2 linked regions of the Diceros bicornis minor genome follow. The protein of the gene in region 2 purifies or fractionates together with the protein of the main gene of each other region. This does not show direct contact. Links are inferred from orthologs where the notes say so. Each region holds a gene or a part of one and is shown on either strand. Other genes may lie near its edges.

What was found.
Region 1: the proteins of UBE3D (region 2) and DNAAF2 purify together in Homo sapiens (affinity purification with mass spectrometry; 4 studies listed by BioGRID and IntAct, counting the BioPlex papers as one, with this or other methods). This does not show direct contact. The link is inferred for Diceros bicornis minor from reciprocal best matches to the Homo sapiens genes UBE3D and DNAAF2.

The regions. Positions count from the first base shown.
Region 1 is NC_080744.1:2,322,835-2,331,207, reverse strand, and holds the start of DNAAF2 (protein kintoun), read right to left. Parts: upstream 3,416-8,373; 5' UTR 3,398-3,415; coding exon 1,505-3,397; intron 1-1,504. UniProt on the Homo sapiens protein: Required for cytoplasmic pre-assembly of axonemal dyneins, thereby playing a central role in motility in cilia and flagella.
Region 2 is NC_080762.1:48,600,876-48,609,159, reverse strand, and holds the start of UBE3D (E3 ubiquitin-protein ligase E3D), read right to left. Parts: upstream 3,064-8,284; 5' UTR 3,012-3,063; coding exon 2,935-3,011; intron 1-2,934. UniProt on the Homo sapiens protein: E3 ubiquitin-protein ligase which accepts ubiquitin from specific E2 ubiquitin-conjugating enzymes, and transfers it to substrates, generally promoting their degradation by the proteasome.

The sequences.
Region 1 (8,373 bases), on a different chromosome or scaffold from region 2:
CAGATATAAAACACAGTTGCCCTAATCCCATTTTCATCTAGTTTCTGTTAAAATAATGTTAGCATACTAGAAAGTCAGATTAAAATATATTCTTTAGTATTCTCTCAACTGTCTGTAGAGCTTTCTTCCCACATTGTGAGTTATTTTCACATTTATTAAAACAATTACAGGAAAATGACTGCCCTTTCCTAAATTTCTCCCTTCTGATGACATAAACAGATAGTCAATTTCATATTTTATATCCTCACAAAGTATCTTATACAGCCCTGGCTATTTATTTTACCATTTTTGGAGGGTTTCAAATTAACCACTTCTCACATTAGATAACCCTCATAAAATATAAATGTAACTTAGCAAATTTCTAGAAAAACAATGGGAAGAAGTGAAAATTTCTAGCAGGTTAAAGCCCAAGGCCAAAAACTTAATTTTTAATATATAATCTGTGCAACTAGTATTTCTGGGAATTTAACCCTTGAATATGTTAAAAAAGCTAAAAAAAAATTACATGTAACATTGATACAAACCTCAACCACACCAATTGTTTATGAGATTAAAAAGTTCTTTAGAACTTCAAATTTTAAGTAGTTTTTTTTCAATATTTGCCAGCAGTACTGGAGTATTGAATCTGAAATTCAAGAACCTCAATAACCTAAAAAGTATAGTAGCAACTACAACAGGACACACTACGTTATTCATCCGAATTATATCCTATCGCATATATCTAAGTAAACTAGGTCAGCGCAGCCCCAGTTCTAGAGTATTCGCCCAGAAGAGGCGTAGCTGGTGTTGATGCTGTTCAGTTGAACAACCGTTTATATTACACTGTTACATGCCGGCCATTGTGCCAAATACTGGTGGAGACCTCAAGTAGATTAAAACAGACTCAAAAAGAGGCGATTTCCATGTAATATATAACGCCCACCAGAGGACACCCCACCCCTGTCAGCGACTATATGTCGGCAGCACCATGTGGCCCAAAGGGCAAGGGATCTAGTTCACCCCTGGGTCTGAGTCCGTTTTCCCACGTAAGAACTGCGTGGCGCCGGCTGGGTCACATTTGCTCTCCGGAAGTAAATTTACCTTCTAAAGTCGGAAAACGTTATTTACCAACTTAGAATATGGCCACAATGGAGTGCCCCACAAACCTATGTGGGTCACGAGCCCCTCAGAGAATACGACTCAAAAGACGGCCCTTCTCCCCAGAGGAAAGCACCTCGACTTCCGGCCCACAACTGCAGAGTGACCCGGGGGTCACTCCGGGGAGACCAGCGCGTGAAGGGCGGCTAAGATGTGAGACCCGCCCACCGAGGGCACGCGCGTCAGCTTTTGGTCGATGGTCGTCTAACGCGCGCTGGCACGTTTCATCACGTGCACCAATTTCGAGTCACTACCAGAAGTTACAATGGAAAACGCTGCGTTTGGGATAAACTGAGAACGCCCGTAACAGCAAATCTAAAGTGGGACGGAATATTTCAAACGCTAAGACTCTAGCAAGGACCGTTACCTCCAAAGAATCGCTGTTTAAGCCGTACCACCAGGCCGTCCAGTGCCCGCGGCACTCTGGAGCCTTGGCCAGCTCTATCACCGCGTTGTCGAGGGACACGCTGACCACGGGCTCCCGGGGGCCCAACGTGTTTTCCGGAGCAAAGCGCAGAACCAAGGCGTAGGAAGCCGAGTCTCGGGTGGAGAAGCGCAACTGGTACCCGAGGGGGCTCAGGTCCCCGTGGAGACTCTGCGGCTGGATCCGAGGCACCTGCACCAGCAGAGTCACGGACTCCTCGTTCTGCCTGCACTGTGAAGGGGGACACACGGGCTCCCGGCGGGCGGTCCCGGGACCACCCATGGCCGCACCCGGGGGCTCCCCGCCCGCGCCTGCCCGGGCCCCGCGCGCGTCTCCTCCTCCTGCACCGGAGCCCCTGCCCAAAGCCCTGGATGGAGCGCCGGGGGGGGTCCTTGCTCCGGGGGGCGGCTCCTCCCCGACGGCCGGAGTCCACACTGCCGGCCCGCCTGGGCCCCGCTCCTCGCGCTGCTGCTCCCGCTCCCCCTCTCGCTGCTCCTGCTCCTCCCGCTGCTCTCCCCGCTCCTCCTCCTGCTCCTCCTCCTCTCGATGCTCCTGCTCCTCCTGCTGCTCTCCCCGCTCCTCTTCCTGCTCCTCCCGCTGCTCTCCCCGCTCCTCCTCCTGCGCCTCCTCCAGCTCCTCCTCCCGCTGCTCCTGCTCCCCCCGCTGCTCCCCACGCTCCTCCCGCTGCTGCTCCTCCTGCTCCCCCCTCTGCTCCTCCTCTTCCTCCTGCTCCTTCTCCTCCGGGCCCCGTGCGTCAGTTCCGGGCGCGCGGGCAGGCTCTTCCGGCGGCGCGGGGCGCGGGGCGGGGCGCACGACGGGCAGCGTGACCACCAGCTGCCGGCGGGCCCGGTGGAAGTGCGCCGTGCCGCGGCCGTCGTCCACGGGGTAGGGGAGCGAGAGGCGCAGGCGGTAGTCGGGGGCCCTGGAGTCCAAGCTCAGCAGCCGCCCCGTCACCTCCAGCGCCGCCTGCTCGGCCGAGCGCAGCAGCGGCAGCTCGATGGTGACCACCAGCTCGTGGGGCACGGGCCCGGGGGCCGAGTCGCGGGCGCAGCGGTAGTCCTGCAGGTCCACGTGGTGGCGCTGCACCACGCTGTAGCGGGGCTCGGTGGGTGCGTGCGGCGGGCCGGCGGCCGGAGGGGCGGGCGCGGGGGCCCGGGCGGCCGGGCGCGGGGCCGGCGGCGGGTAGGGGTAGGGCAGGCCGGGGAGGGGTCCCTCCGGCTCCCCGTCGGGCCGCGCCGGGCCGGCCCCGGGCAGGGGCGTGCGCAGCACGGCGGCCTCCGGGGTGCCCTTGTACTTGATCTTGAGGGTCCTGGCGTTGGTGCGGTCCAGCTTCACGCCGCACTGCGTCTCCACGGCGTCCAGGGCCGCGGCGTCCAGCATGCGGCGGAAGCGCTCGTGGCGCCGGGCCAGCGCCAGCGCGCGCGGGTGGAAGACCACGTCGTAGACGGTGTAGCGGCCGCCGCGGCGCCCCAGGTACTCGCGGCCCGGCGCCAGGCTGTAGGGCAGCGACCACTGGCCGTCGGGCCGGCCGCGGGGCGCGCCCACCAGCGGGTTGCTGCACACGTTCACGAAGCCGCGCCGCGCCCCGTCCAGGCTGGTGCGCAGCACGTGGCCCGGCTCCGGGTGCACGAACCGCACGGCCACGCCGCGCTCCCGCTCCAGCGCCGTGACCTCCGCCTCGTAGCGCCGCCGGTTCTCCGGGTCCGTGAGCTCCTCGGCGTACTCGGAGAACATTCGCCGGAACTCCGGGTCCCGGAAGGCCGAGGTGAGCCGCTGGACCTCCTCTGCGCTCAGGTCCAAGTCCTCCAGCGCCGAAGAGGCTGCCGCCCTGGCCATGCTGCCCGCGGCTCCGGCCCTCGGCCGCGGGAGATGGGTCCCGGACTGGGGGGTGGGTGCGCCTCGGAACCGCTTGTCCGGAGAGTGCGGCGGCCGGTTCCGTAACCGCAACCGCCGGCGGAGAGCTGAGCGTGGGCAGCGCGTGCTGGTTGCCGTGGGGACACCGCCAGCACCCGGGAGGGAGGAGGGGCAGGAGGCGGGGAGGGACGGTGCAAAGGCCAGCGTAGACTTAGTAGCAACTTCAGACCCACCAACTATGCTGCATCCCGCGTTTTTTAGATTCTTGTGACATGGTGCAGGTACTTCTGCAGAATAACCATCATCATAATTGTAATATCCGGCATTGTTCACAACACTTCAAGGTGGGCTTGATCCTCCTTTCACAGACAAGATGGGACCTGAGAAGTTACCTAACCAAGGTCACACAGCTAGTGTATTCACAGGCTGGGATTCAAGCTGGAGTTGATCTGCTTTTTTCACATTGCTAAACCAACATTTCAGTCTTTTGGATATGTCTCCATACAGTTTGCCCTGCAACAACTCTCATTTGAGCAAGACATCTCGGCAGGCTGTTCATAAATAACCAGTGATCGATAAACATAATGACTTTACCACTAATAAAATGCAAATATAAGATACCACATACCACCTATCCAAATGGCAAAGGCTGTTATTACAGCCCCATATTGTACCTCCTTGGGGTGGTGCTGGAAGTTAGTAAAGCGTTTCTCAAGACTCGTTTGGTAGCTGTATCAAAGCCTTTAGAATGTAATACTTTATTGATCCAGCAATTCCAACTCCAACAGCATGCTCAAGGCAACATTATGTATGATTCTAAAGGTTGGGGAAGAATGGAAGGATTCAACAGTGGGACTGGTTGAGCAGATTTTTTTTTCTTTAATTATTTATTTTTTCCCCCAAAGCCCCAGCAGATAGTTGTAGGTCATAGCTGCACATCCTTCTAGTTGCTGTATGTGGGACGCGGCCTCAGCATGGCCCGGCAAGCGGTGTGTCGGTACGCCCGGGATCAAACCTTGGCTGCCAGCAGCAGAGCGCGCGCACTTAACCACTAAGCCACAGGCCGGCCCAAGCAGATTTTGATACAGCCATGCAAATGGGATTCTGTGCAGCCCTTCAAAGTGATGTTGCAGAAGCAAGTTCATTGACTGGAGTAGTTGTTAAATCCAGTGCTCATTTTGTTGAAACTCTCAGCAACATTTACTACAATTGATGTTGGCATTACTCTATGACAAGACACTTTCCAGGTTTCTCTCCTAGTTCATCAGACATCGACACTGTGTGGTCTGCTTTGCAGGTGTTTACCTCGATTCAACTTCTAAGTGGAAACACCTCAAGGCTGTGACCTCATCCATTTTCCATTTACATTGTCTCCTTCGCAGGTATATTTACACTCACAAATACGAGATTCATCTGTCAGGGTCTAAACTCCAGCTGCCCATTTTAGGTCTCCATTTGAATGATTTAACGCGTAAGCTCCTCAGGCTTGAAATGACCAAAATTAGAACTCCTGACTCCTCTCCTTTTCCAGCCTCTGCCTTCCTCTTAGGTTAGGATCTCCTGGCAGCATGCAAAGCGATTGACTGCCCCCCTTGAGACACATTTTCTCTTGGTTTATAGAACTCCGTGCTTCCCCTTTTCCTCCTCTGCTTGCTCCTCTTCTCCCCCTTCTGTAAATGTAGGGGTCACCCAGGTCTCGTTCATTAGCCCTCTTAGCTAATCATATTTCCTCCAAGATGATCTTCAAGCCCACAGCTTTAACTGCCGTCTGTGCTCAGGTTGGTTCTTTTCCCGGCTGTCTGTGGCACACTCGGTGCGCCTGCTGTACAGGTAGGTAAGGAAGGAGCAGGACAGTCGTCGTGCTCCAAGGATGTGAGGCAGCTGGCACTCTCAGATGCTGGAGTGCATATTGGGCCAGTCGCTTTGGAAAATTGCTGTTGAATGTAATGTATACTTTATGACCAAGAAATTCTACTCTTAGATATACACCCAACAGAATCACATACATATCCCTATCAAAAGACATATGCTAAAATTCGTATATTCATAACAGCATTATTTGTAATACACCAATAGTGGAAACTACCCAAATTCCCATCAGTGGTAGAATGGATAAATACAATGTGTATATCCACACAATGGACATGAAGGAACCATGTGGATGGATCACTAACAATGTGTGAAAGAAACCAGGTGCAAAATAGTACATACCGTATGATTCTGTTATATAATAGACAAAACTTGGCAAATAAATCAGTGAGAAATCAGGCTGATGATTGTGAAGGGGGCGTGGAGTGGGGTATTGTGATGCGCAGGGGGCAGGAGTGAGCTTCTGGGGTGAGGGTAACGTTTCTTAATCTTGCTAACAGGGTGTGCAGTTTGTGAAAATGCATTGAGCTGTATGTACACTAGTAATAGGGGGCTTTTATGTATGTATCGTGTACTTCAATCTAAAAGTTTTTAAATACCTGTAAAAAAAATTGCCTTCGTGGATCTCATGTGGGATGAGACTAGTGACTCCAAAATTTTATCCCATACCTGAGCTCTAGACTCATGCCACTGCCTGCCAGATACCTCTGCCTGAATGTCGGATACGCATCTCAAAATGGAAATCTTGCTTCTCCCTTCTCGAACCTGTTATTTCCCCAGTCTCAGTACTGTCCACCCAGCCGCTTAGGCTTAAATCCTACAGGTGATCCTTGATTCCTCTTCCCCCTACCTTGCACTGCCGTTCAGTTACCAGGTCCTGTCGGCTCTTCCACTCCCCAAACACACCCACTTCTTGCCGGGTCTGGTCTTGACCACGTCATCTCTGTCGCAAACTTCTGCAGTAGCTTCGTGACTGGTCTCCTCACTTCTTCCCTTCTCATGACCTCGTCTCCACGTGCTAGTCTTAGTGATCTTTAAAACCAGATCTGCTCAACACCTTCCCGTTGCCTGACATCCACATTCCTTGCTGTGTCTACAAGGCCCGTCATGCCTTGATCCCTAACCCTTTCCATACTCGCCACCGAATTTTCTCCCCCGATCGTTATACCTCATTCCCGATGGCAGAATACTCTTGCTCCTGTGCAGCCTGCACACGGGCCCTTGAATCTCAAGAAGTTGTGTCACCATCATTGACTCCCTGTGACAACCTCTTCCCGCCTCCAGCACCCCATCTGAAGTTGCCCATGTCATTCTTATTTTCACCGTGGTTCATATTTGGCATTTTCTTGTTTGTTTTAGCGTGTGGCTTGCCCCATTTGAAGGTAAGATCATGAAAATGCAGCCCTTGCCCTTCTGGTTTACCACTGGATTCCCAGTACCTGGAACATTAGGCCCTCAGATATCTAATGAATGAGTATAATACAGTACAGAAAAAAGCACATTTAGTATGTATAGTATGATCCCAAAATATTTTTGTAGGAAAAAATAAGCATAGAGAAAAATCTGGAAGGACATATATCAAAATATTAACAGATGATCTCTGGTGGTGGAATTGGTGGTCATTAAAATTTTTGTCTGAGCCGGCCCTGATGGCGTAGTGGTTACAGTTTGGCACACTCCGCTTCTGCGGCCTGGGTTCGGTTCCTGGGGGCAGAATCACACCATTCATCTGTAGGCCGACACGCCGTGTTGGTGGCTCACATAGAAGAACTTAGAAGGACTTAGAACTGTGTACTGGGGCTTTAAAGATTTACATCTGAAGTAGCTTGGAGACATAGAGATGAGTTCTAGAAGATCTTCAAAGCTTGTGAGGGATATATAAAATTGCACCCTTTCCTATTATAACCCTGATGTCAATGAACATACCCAATGATTAGCTGTCAACTTATTTTAAGTTACCTTTGAACTTCAAAATTCTGGACACGTTTCATCTTAAAAAGGTGTTTGCAAACATGGATACATCATACTGCTCACATGACAACAGACCACACCTAGCTGTTTGGAAATGAGAACACCCTCTGAGATTGTGTGTAGGGGTTGGGGGGATAGGTTCAGGTATGTGGATTTTTCTGAGTAGAGAGCCTTTAGCTTTCATTAGATTCTCTAAGAAGGGTGGGTCCATGCCCTCCACCTTGCCAGATTTCTTACCATGTGACATCCCCTTTCCCAGAAGAAGCTCTTTGAGAAAAGACAATGGAGTTGTGGAAAAGCCCAGTGGCCAAAACAAACGATTTGTTGCCTAAAATCCATCCATTGAGGAAAGGCTACCCTTATTAAAATATGAAGGCCCTTTGAGGGAGAAGGACTGAGTATTAGGGCCATTATCAGTTACTTATTTATTAGAAAAATTTTTTTGCATTTGTTTTATTGAGGTAACATTGGTTTATAACACTATATAAATTTCAGGTATACATCATTATACTTCAATTTCTGTGTAGATTACATCATGTTCACCACCCAAAGACTAATTACAATCCATCACCACACACACGTGTCTCATCACCCCTTTCACCTTCCTCCCTCCCCCCTTCCCCTCTGGTAACCACTAGTCTAATCTCTGTATCTGTGTGTGTGTGTTTGTTGTTTTTGTCTTCCACTTATGAGTGAAATCATAAGGTATTTAGCTTTCTCTGTCTGACTTATTTCGCTTAGCGTAATACTCTCCCCCCCCCCCCCAAAGCCCCAGTAGATAGTTGTATGTCATAGCTGCACATCCTTCTAGTTGCTGTATGTGGGACTCGGCCTCAGGATGGACGGAGAAGTGGTGCCTCGGTGCGCGCCCGGGATCCGAACCCGGGCCACCAGCAACGGAGCGCGTGCACTCAACCACCAAGCCACGGGGCCGGCCCTACTTAGCGTAATACTCTGAAGGTCCATCCATGTTGTTGCAAATGGCACAGTTTCGTCTTTTATGGCTGGGTAGTATTCAATTGTGTATAGATGTATACATATACCATATCTTCTTTATTTATTCATCCATTGATAGGTACCAGGTTGTTTCCAAGTTTTGGCTATTGTGAATAATGCTG
Region 2 (8,284 bases):
AAAAAATAGGACCATCACAATACATGCAAGAATCACTACAAAAAAAACAGTATCTATTCATGATTAAAACCCTTGGTAACCTAGGAATAAAAAGGAACTACGCAATCTACCAAACAGATTCATCAAAAGTCAACTTCGTCATATCTAATGATGACCCCTGCTAGAGGCATTTAAGATTAAGAACAAGAATAATACTCAATATACTATTTACATTAACTGTAAATAGACTAAAAATTATAATTAAAATGAAGAGATTGTCAGAATGGAGTTTTAAAAACTCCACCCAGTATAAAGTATATACTTAAAAACTTATATATAAAGACATAGGTTGAGAGTAAAAGGGTGGAAAAAGACAAACCATGCAAACAATACAGTCAACTGATTTCTGATACAGACACTGAGTTATTTCAATAGGAGAAATGACAGTTTTTTTAACTAATGGTAACAGAACAACTGGATATCTTTATGGAAAAAAAACGAACTTTGACCCCAACCTCACTCCAAACACAAAAATGAATCTGACATAATCATGGACCTAAATGTAAAAGCTAAAACTATGTAACTCCTAGAAAATAAACATAAGAAAAAAGTCTTTACAACTTTGAGGTACACAAAGATTTCTTAAGACATAAAAAGCACTAACCATTAAATAAAAAAACGCAACTGGACTTCATTATAATTAAAATTTTCTGTTCATCAAAAGACATTATTAAGAAAATGAAAGGGTAAGTTACAGATTGGGAGAAAATATTCACACACTCACAAGGCATGAGACAGGTCTTGTTTCCAGACCATATAAAGAACTCTTTTAATTCAACCCTAAGACAAACAACCTGATTTTTTTTTTTATTTCTTTTTTTGCGCGTGTGTGAGGAAGATCAGCCCTGAGCTAATATCCGATGCCAATCCTCTTTTTGCCGAGGAAGACTGGCCCTGGGCTAACATCTGTGCCCATCTTCCTCTACTTTATATGGGACGCCGCCACAGCATGGCTTGACAAGCAGTGCATCGCTGCAGGCCCAGGATCTGAACCCGCGAGCCCCCAGGCTGCTGAAGTAGAGCATGCACACTTAACGGCTACGCCACCAGGCTGGCCCCCTGATTTTTTTTTAATAGAAAATAATTAGAAGATACTTTATGAAGGAGCATATATGAATGACCAAAAAGCAAATATGAAGGTGCTCAACAGTATTAACCAGGAAAACGCAAATTAAAACTACAATGAGATATCACTTTATACCACTAGAGATGGTTAAGATCAAAAAGATTGTCAATACTAAATGCAGACAAGAATGTGAAGCAATTGGAAGTCTCATTTTTTGCTGGCAAGAATATAAACTGGTGCAACCATTTTGGAGAACTGTTTGGCAGTTTCTCATAAAGTAAAGCTCCCATCTACCCTACGACCTAGCAAGTCCATCCAAGACAAATGAAAATGTATGTCCACAGAAAGACTTAACCACAACAATGTTATGGCAGCTTTATGCATAATAAGCAAGCTCTATAAACATGCAAAATATCCAGCAACAGAAGAATGGATAAATGAATTGTTGTATACAGTGGAAAACTACTCAGCAAGAAAAAAGAATGGACTACTGATATATGCAATGCCATAGATGAAAGATGAATCTCAGAAACACTGTTGAAGGAAAGCAGCCAGAAACAAAAAAGTATATACTGCATGAATCCATTTATACATAGTTCAAGAAATGGCAAAACTAACCTTTGCTGAATGAAATCAGAACAGTGGTTGCTTTCAGGGTAGAGGGAACTGGCTGATGATAAAGATCAACAGCCAGAGGCCACCAGGGACAAAGCAGTCGTCCAGTCAAGTCAGGCTTCTTAACTTGCTTAAACAAGGGAGAGGAACCCAGGAGAAACTTGAAGGGCCCCTGTGATGGAAGTAGGGAGGCTGGCTTGACTTGTTTTGTTTGGGCTCCTAATAACCCTACAAGGTGGATTGGAATTGGAGATACTTACCTGAACTCATGATTTGAGAGAGAGAGAGGAAAAAAGAGAGCGGAAAAAAAAGAAGAAAAGTAATAAATATCATCCCCACGTTACAACTGAAAAAATTCAGATTAAATAACTCAGTTCTCATGCCAAATCCCAAACTGTCTCACTAGACACCTGGCTGATTTAAGGAAAAAACAGAAAGCTAAGCATCAATCTACCTCAAGTGTGGCGCTGTGTAATAAACTTCTCAGGATTTTAACATCTAATTTACCCTGAAACAGCAGTCACGATGGAATAGTCGAGGGGACCACATACTACCAAACAAAAAAGAGAACACTTTTCCTAAAAGTTTGTTTGTGTAGTGAATAACAAGTTAAACGTTTGCAGACTTCTCATTGGAACCCGGAATATGAATAAAAGAATGACCTCCAGTAAGAAGTCTGCAACCTTTGTCAGTCGTTCACCCAACACACGTTTACTGAATGACTGTGTCACTTTCTCAGCACAGGACAGAAAAAAAAAAAAAAGAAAAAACCCTGAAGTTATTTACAAAACAGGAAGCTCACCCACTGGAACTGATTTTATAACAAGGATTCCGAAAGAGGTAGACAAGGCATTTTTTGCAATGTTTTGTTGGAAACGCCGGGCACTGGCAACGGTATTTCACATCCAGTGCTCCTCAAACTTTAATGTGCATTTGAATCCTGGGAAGCACGTTAAAATGTAAGTTCCGATTCAGCAGGTCTGGTGTGGGGCTGAGACTCCGTATTTCTAACAAGCTCCCAAGTGATGCCTGGACTGCCAATCGACGGGGGGACTATGGCGTGGGGATCGAGGGGGGAGAACACTCCACCTTGAGTAACCGAGAGGCTTTAAGCAGCTGGAAAGAAGAAACTCAAAATCGGTGTTCCGAGGGAGGCAGAGACTCCCCGAGAAGCAGAAGAGCGAGCCGGGCTCCGCGCCCGCCCCTGGCCTTACCCCAGGATCAGCAGCGCGCTCTGCAGCCGTCTCCGCACCTCCAGGAACACGCGCGTCTCCGCCGCAGGGGACGCCATGGCGGGCGCCCGGCTGGAGGTTCTGGCGAAGCAGGGCCACCAGGGCCTGGAGCGCCTGCACGTGCGGCCCCAGCAGAAGCGGCAGCAGCGGCGGCGCGGAGCTCCCGGACCGGCTCGCCCCGCGGGCAGAGCCTGCCAGCCCACAGCGCCGCCTGCCGGGCGGAGAGCGCGCCGCCGCGGGGACTCCACGCCGGGGCGCGAGCATTCTCAAATCCCGGCTTTCCGACTCGCTGAGACAGGTGGGCGGGGAGAGCCATGCTGTCTTCCCACTCCGCGAATTACGGGCGTGACCTGATGCGATAGTCTCCCTGGAAATGACCTTAAAAATCAGGGCCGAAGTACACCCTTTTGGCTTCCGCGGGTAGGGAAGAGGCTGGAAGAGGGGGATGATGGACGGAGGCGGTGGAAGCGGCCACCGTCCCCAGAAAGCCCGAGAGTAGAATTCCCCACGCGAAGTCCACTTTATCTTGTTTTTCTTTCTTTCTTTCTTTTTTTTTTTTTTAAGAACTGTGGTCTCTTTTTTATGAACTATGGTCGGTCGGTCGTAGCTCTCCCCTGTCTGAGGCAACAAATATCCAGGGTTGACTTGGCATTGCTTCTCAATTTAGACCACGATGGAAACACTGGCAAAAATGTGAGAAGTTTTCTGTCTGTGCAGAGAGTGTGGTTAAATCCAGTATCGTGAATCACAGGATAAACCATTCCTATAACCTTTGAAAAAAGGAAGATGAGAATGATTCCATATGTACATTTACACTATTCACTTTTGCAGAAGTAAAAACTGACCTAGAGAAGTTGTAATCTCATAACTACTAAAAGAAAGTTTTGGTTAAGTTTGACAGGGTAAAGAAAAAGATCTAGTATAATGTAAATACTTATAACTGGGGAATATTAAAATATAAGGCCACGGTAGAATTATAATAATAATTCTTTAAAAACAAGAGGCTGTTATTTAAAGCAGAAACAAATGATGGCATATACAGAAAATCGTATGTTTATTGATATTCTACTTTATCATTTCAAGGTCGTAATTACCACACACCAAACATATTAATTTGAAGATTTTCCAAATAATAAGCCCACTTCCCTAGAGATACTAGTTTAAGAGAATTTTTCTAAAATCAGTATTCAGAGTTTTTTAAGTTTATCATATTGTTTCACAAATTCCTGTATCCATCACAATAATTCAAAATTATGAATGGAGGTAATGATACAGTTAAAAGAATTGTTTACTGCTATTCCGTCTCAAATAGGAGTGATGAAGGGTGATGATTTTAACTTCTATCTTCCACCTTTAATTCTCAAGGCTATTAAGTGCTTAAATACTGACACGTTATTTTGCAATATATAACATTTTTAGCACAGTATGCTCTTCATAATTGGTGTTTGATTATTTTTAAAGATTGTTATATTTCATCTATAGTCATACATTCGTAAAAAAGTTCAATTTTTTTTTGACCCTACGGTTTAGGTAAAATGGTGTAATCCTCCTTGTAGTAACTACATGATTTAGAGAGTTCTAGACTCAAAATAGTTCCAAATCTGGTAACAACTATTTGTTTCCCAACTTCACAAGTTTTCTAACTTCTCTGGGCCTCAAATTTTTCATATGAAATACTGAACAATTATTTAAATAATACTTAATTCTTAAATAATATTTAAAAGCTGTTCTCAATTCCTAGCATCCCGCCAAACTCTCCATCAAGGTGGGGCCGGCGCTGGCGAGTTGAAAACACCTGCTACAGCCCTCTCCAAGCCCACTCCCGCAGTTGGTGGCCGTGGGCCGCTTCCTCGACAATCCGCTAGAGGGAGCTGTCGCGACAGCTTGTGACGGGAGGGAGGCAGGGAGGGGGCGGGACCGAGGGCCGTCGACGTCGACGCCGGCGTGGGCGCGGTGCACGCTGGGAGCTGTCAGTAGGCCCTTGGGCTCCCGGCCTCGGTGTCGCTGTCGCGGTTGCCAGGAGAGCGGCGCCGGCGGGGAGCGGCCGAGCCCACGGCAGGTAACAGCGTCCCCGCCCCCAGCGCGGTCGCGAGGCCGGCCGCCGGCCCTCCCTGAGCGGCCTCCTCAGCCCGGCTCGCACCGGAGCTGCGGGGACGCCCCGCGGGTCGGCGGCTGTGGCGCCGGGGGTGTTGCCGCCCTGGCCCCGCCTGGAGCCCGCGCGAAGCCGGCCGGCCGCGCTCTGGTTTCTGGGGACCCGCGGGCCGGGCGGAGGCGCCCGCGCAGGGGTCCGGAGTGGCCGGTGGCCGGTCCCGAGCCTTCTGCGCTGAGGCCGAGCCGTGCGCAAGGTTGGGGTGGAGGTCGCACCTGTGCGATCGGGGCGCGCGGGGTAACCTCTTTGTTGGCAGAATCTAGGCATCGTCTGGTCTCCTTCATCTGGTGGGTGCTTTTAAGATTGAGGAGACGTGAAGGCCAGCCATGGTTAATGTTCCGCGGGGGGGCGGGGGGCGGGGTTGCAGAGCAGTGCAGAAGTTTATTAGAGGAAGTCCGATTAGTCGTAAGGAAGTTGTTAACAGTGATCACCTTTGATTCTCAAGCCTTTTCAAGTTGCGACATAACAATAGTTACTTGTTCTCTTCCATTCTTCTCCCGTATCCTGAGGGGGGAGGGGGGGTGACACAAAACTGTACTTTTTTTAAAGCTAAGTAAATTGTGTTTTGATTATTCTTACACTATCTTAGAGTTCTGTGGAGGTTGACAAATATAAAGATTGGGAAAATCTGATTTGGAGATTGTAATTAAAGCAATAAAAACTTTTTTTTATATAAGTACCAAAAAAATAATAAGCTAAGCTAAGGCTGACAAGCTCTGAACTATAGAAAGACAAAATCTCTCAATTGCGATGTCGTTGGCTACCTTCTATGCAGACATAAGATCTTGCATTTTACTGTGGATAACACACGTCGGCTAAGTAACTCACCCCCTGATAAACAACACAGTGATTTAGTTGAGTTGACGGACGTTATAACAAGAGTAAATTAAAACCAAACCAGTTGTGGTATAAATGCTTTATTTTAGTGATTACTTTCAGCTGCCACTCTGAAGGAACTCATTGCCTGGAATTGCTAAACAATAGCAAATCGCCAGGTGGGCCTGATTATTAGGAACCCAAGTCTTAAAGGAAGAATTAAAAACACCTAAATTAATACACAAACCAGAAAATATGACACCATAACCAAAATGTTGAATGTAAGTTAAATGTTGTTAACTAAATGTTTGAGGGTTGACAGTCAAGCCTGTCCTATTTTGTAGTTAAATTAGTGGAAAGAGCTCTGGCCTAGGAATGAATGATTTCACTCAAGTCCTTTGTTCTGCTAACCAGGTATGATCTCTCTAGGCCTCAGTTTTGTCACCTGTTTTAAGGGAATTTCATAGGATCAGAGTTTTGCAAACGGATGCTTCCCCTGAACGCTGTTCTGAATCCATTAATAGGCTTACTGCCCCAAAACAGTGTTCCATGGCAAATAATTTGGGAGCACATTGGGTTAAATTAGGTTTAACTTTTAATTTACTTTTAACTGCAGGACTTCTCAAAACCTTTAATGCTATGTTTATATGCATGTAAATTTCCAGAGAAGATTATCGAAGCGTTTCCTAAACTTACATGGCCAGGGAGCCTATTTTCTCATGGCCAACGTGTTAACATCTCCTAGAATATAATTACATAGAATACCTATTTGAAAATTACTGTACTTGAACTGAGTCCCCTTTCAGCTCTAAAATTCCCTACACTATGCTTTTTCGGCTGTCAGTTTAAGCTCTCTGGAGCATGAACATCTAGTGGCAACTCACTGGTATAACAAAAAGCTTAGTTAAATATTAATATTAAGGGTACACATAGGTTTCTGTGAGACTTAATGCTTTCATTTATGGCAGGAGATTATCTTCTTTTTTCTGGTCTCTTGGTGCTTTTCTATAACCATAATTAATTCATGTTTTGAATTTGATTTTATGGTCAAGTTATGGATTTTGTTAATGGTGCTATAAAGTTCCAACAAGTAAATTCTTGATAATGGCATTATTTTTATTATGAATGGTTTGCCTCTCTAGTCATGAATTCTTAAACTATGAAATGTGATAAAAAGCCACTTGAAACGTACTTCATAATTAATAACTACATAATTTTAAGAGCTTAGGTCATTGAAAAGAGTTAAAGGTTAAAACAAATTCTAAGACAGTTATTTCCAAGTTGCTTACAAATGGGATCTAAGTGTTGAATACAATCTTAAATTATTTTGCTAAATTCTATCAGATATCACTAGCACACATGGATACTTCTGTCCGTTCTTTGTTACTTTGTTAGGGGTGAGTGCTAGTAATGTGCTCCTTTGTTTGAGGCGGGTGGGAATAGTACCTTTAATTTTAATGGATAAGCCTTAATTCAGGTAAATTCTCTTCCTGAAGTGAAACTATTAAGTAGAAGTATATAGCTGCTATTTTTGTATAATAACTAAAAGTTTTTATTGAAAATTTATTGTGTGCACATAAGTTCTTTTGATCTCCTTGTCTTTAAATTGTGATTTCCCTTTTTGTTGCATTTACTTCCCCCCTCCCCAAGCTATCCAAGCCTGAAACCTCAATGACTTTTCATTGTATAGGTCAAAGATATGCTATCGAATTTATTAAGGAAAAATTTACATATAATAATGTGCACTCATTTTATGTGTACATGATACACACCCCCCAGTAACCACCCCCATAATCAAGATTTGGAACATGCCACCACTCAGGCCTGTATTGTTACACTTTTGCTCTCTTCAAATGCTCTCCCTGTCTCTGCATGTCTAAATCATACCTATCGTGTCCTAGCTCAAATGCCACCTTGTCTGTGAATCCTTTTTTGATTACCTCATTTTGAAGTAATTTCCTTCTCGTCTGACTTTCGTGTATATATTCCTTTGAACATCCTTTTCTGTCCTTCATGGTGGCTAAACCAATGGGATGTTAACCAAATAGACAAAATGTAGTATTTCTCAAACTTCACTCATTCTTATATCATCTTCAAAATTTGGGCCTAGCTGCATACTTCCTGTATACTGATTTTCTTAATATTTCTTTATATCAATGTGATTATTAAAATAATTTTTAAAGGAAACTTGAAATCACCACCACAAGTAAAAAGAAGGTATCACTTACCATAAACAGAAGGTAGGCATAAAGATAATGAAAACAAAACAGTGTTTTGTTAAATTCTAGCTAGAAACTATTGCCTGCTGAAGACTCTAAGCCTGAAACTTGGCTGTTTTTTTGTTTAAAAGGGAGGTTAGCAAGAATT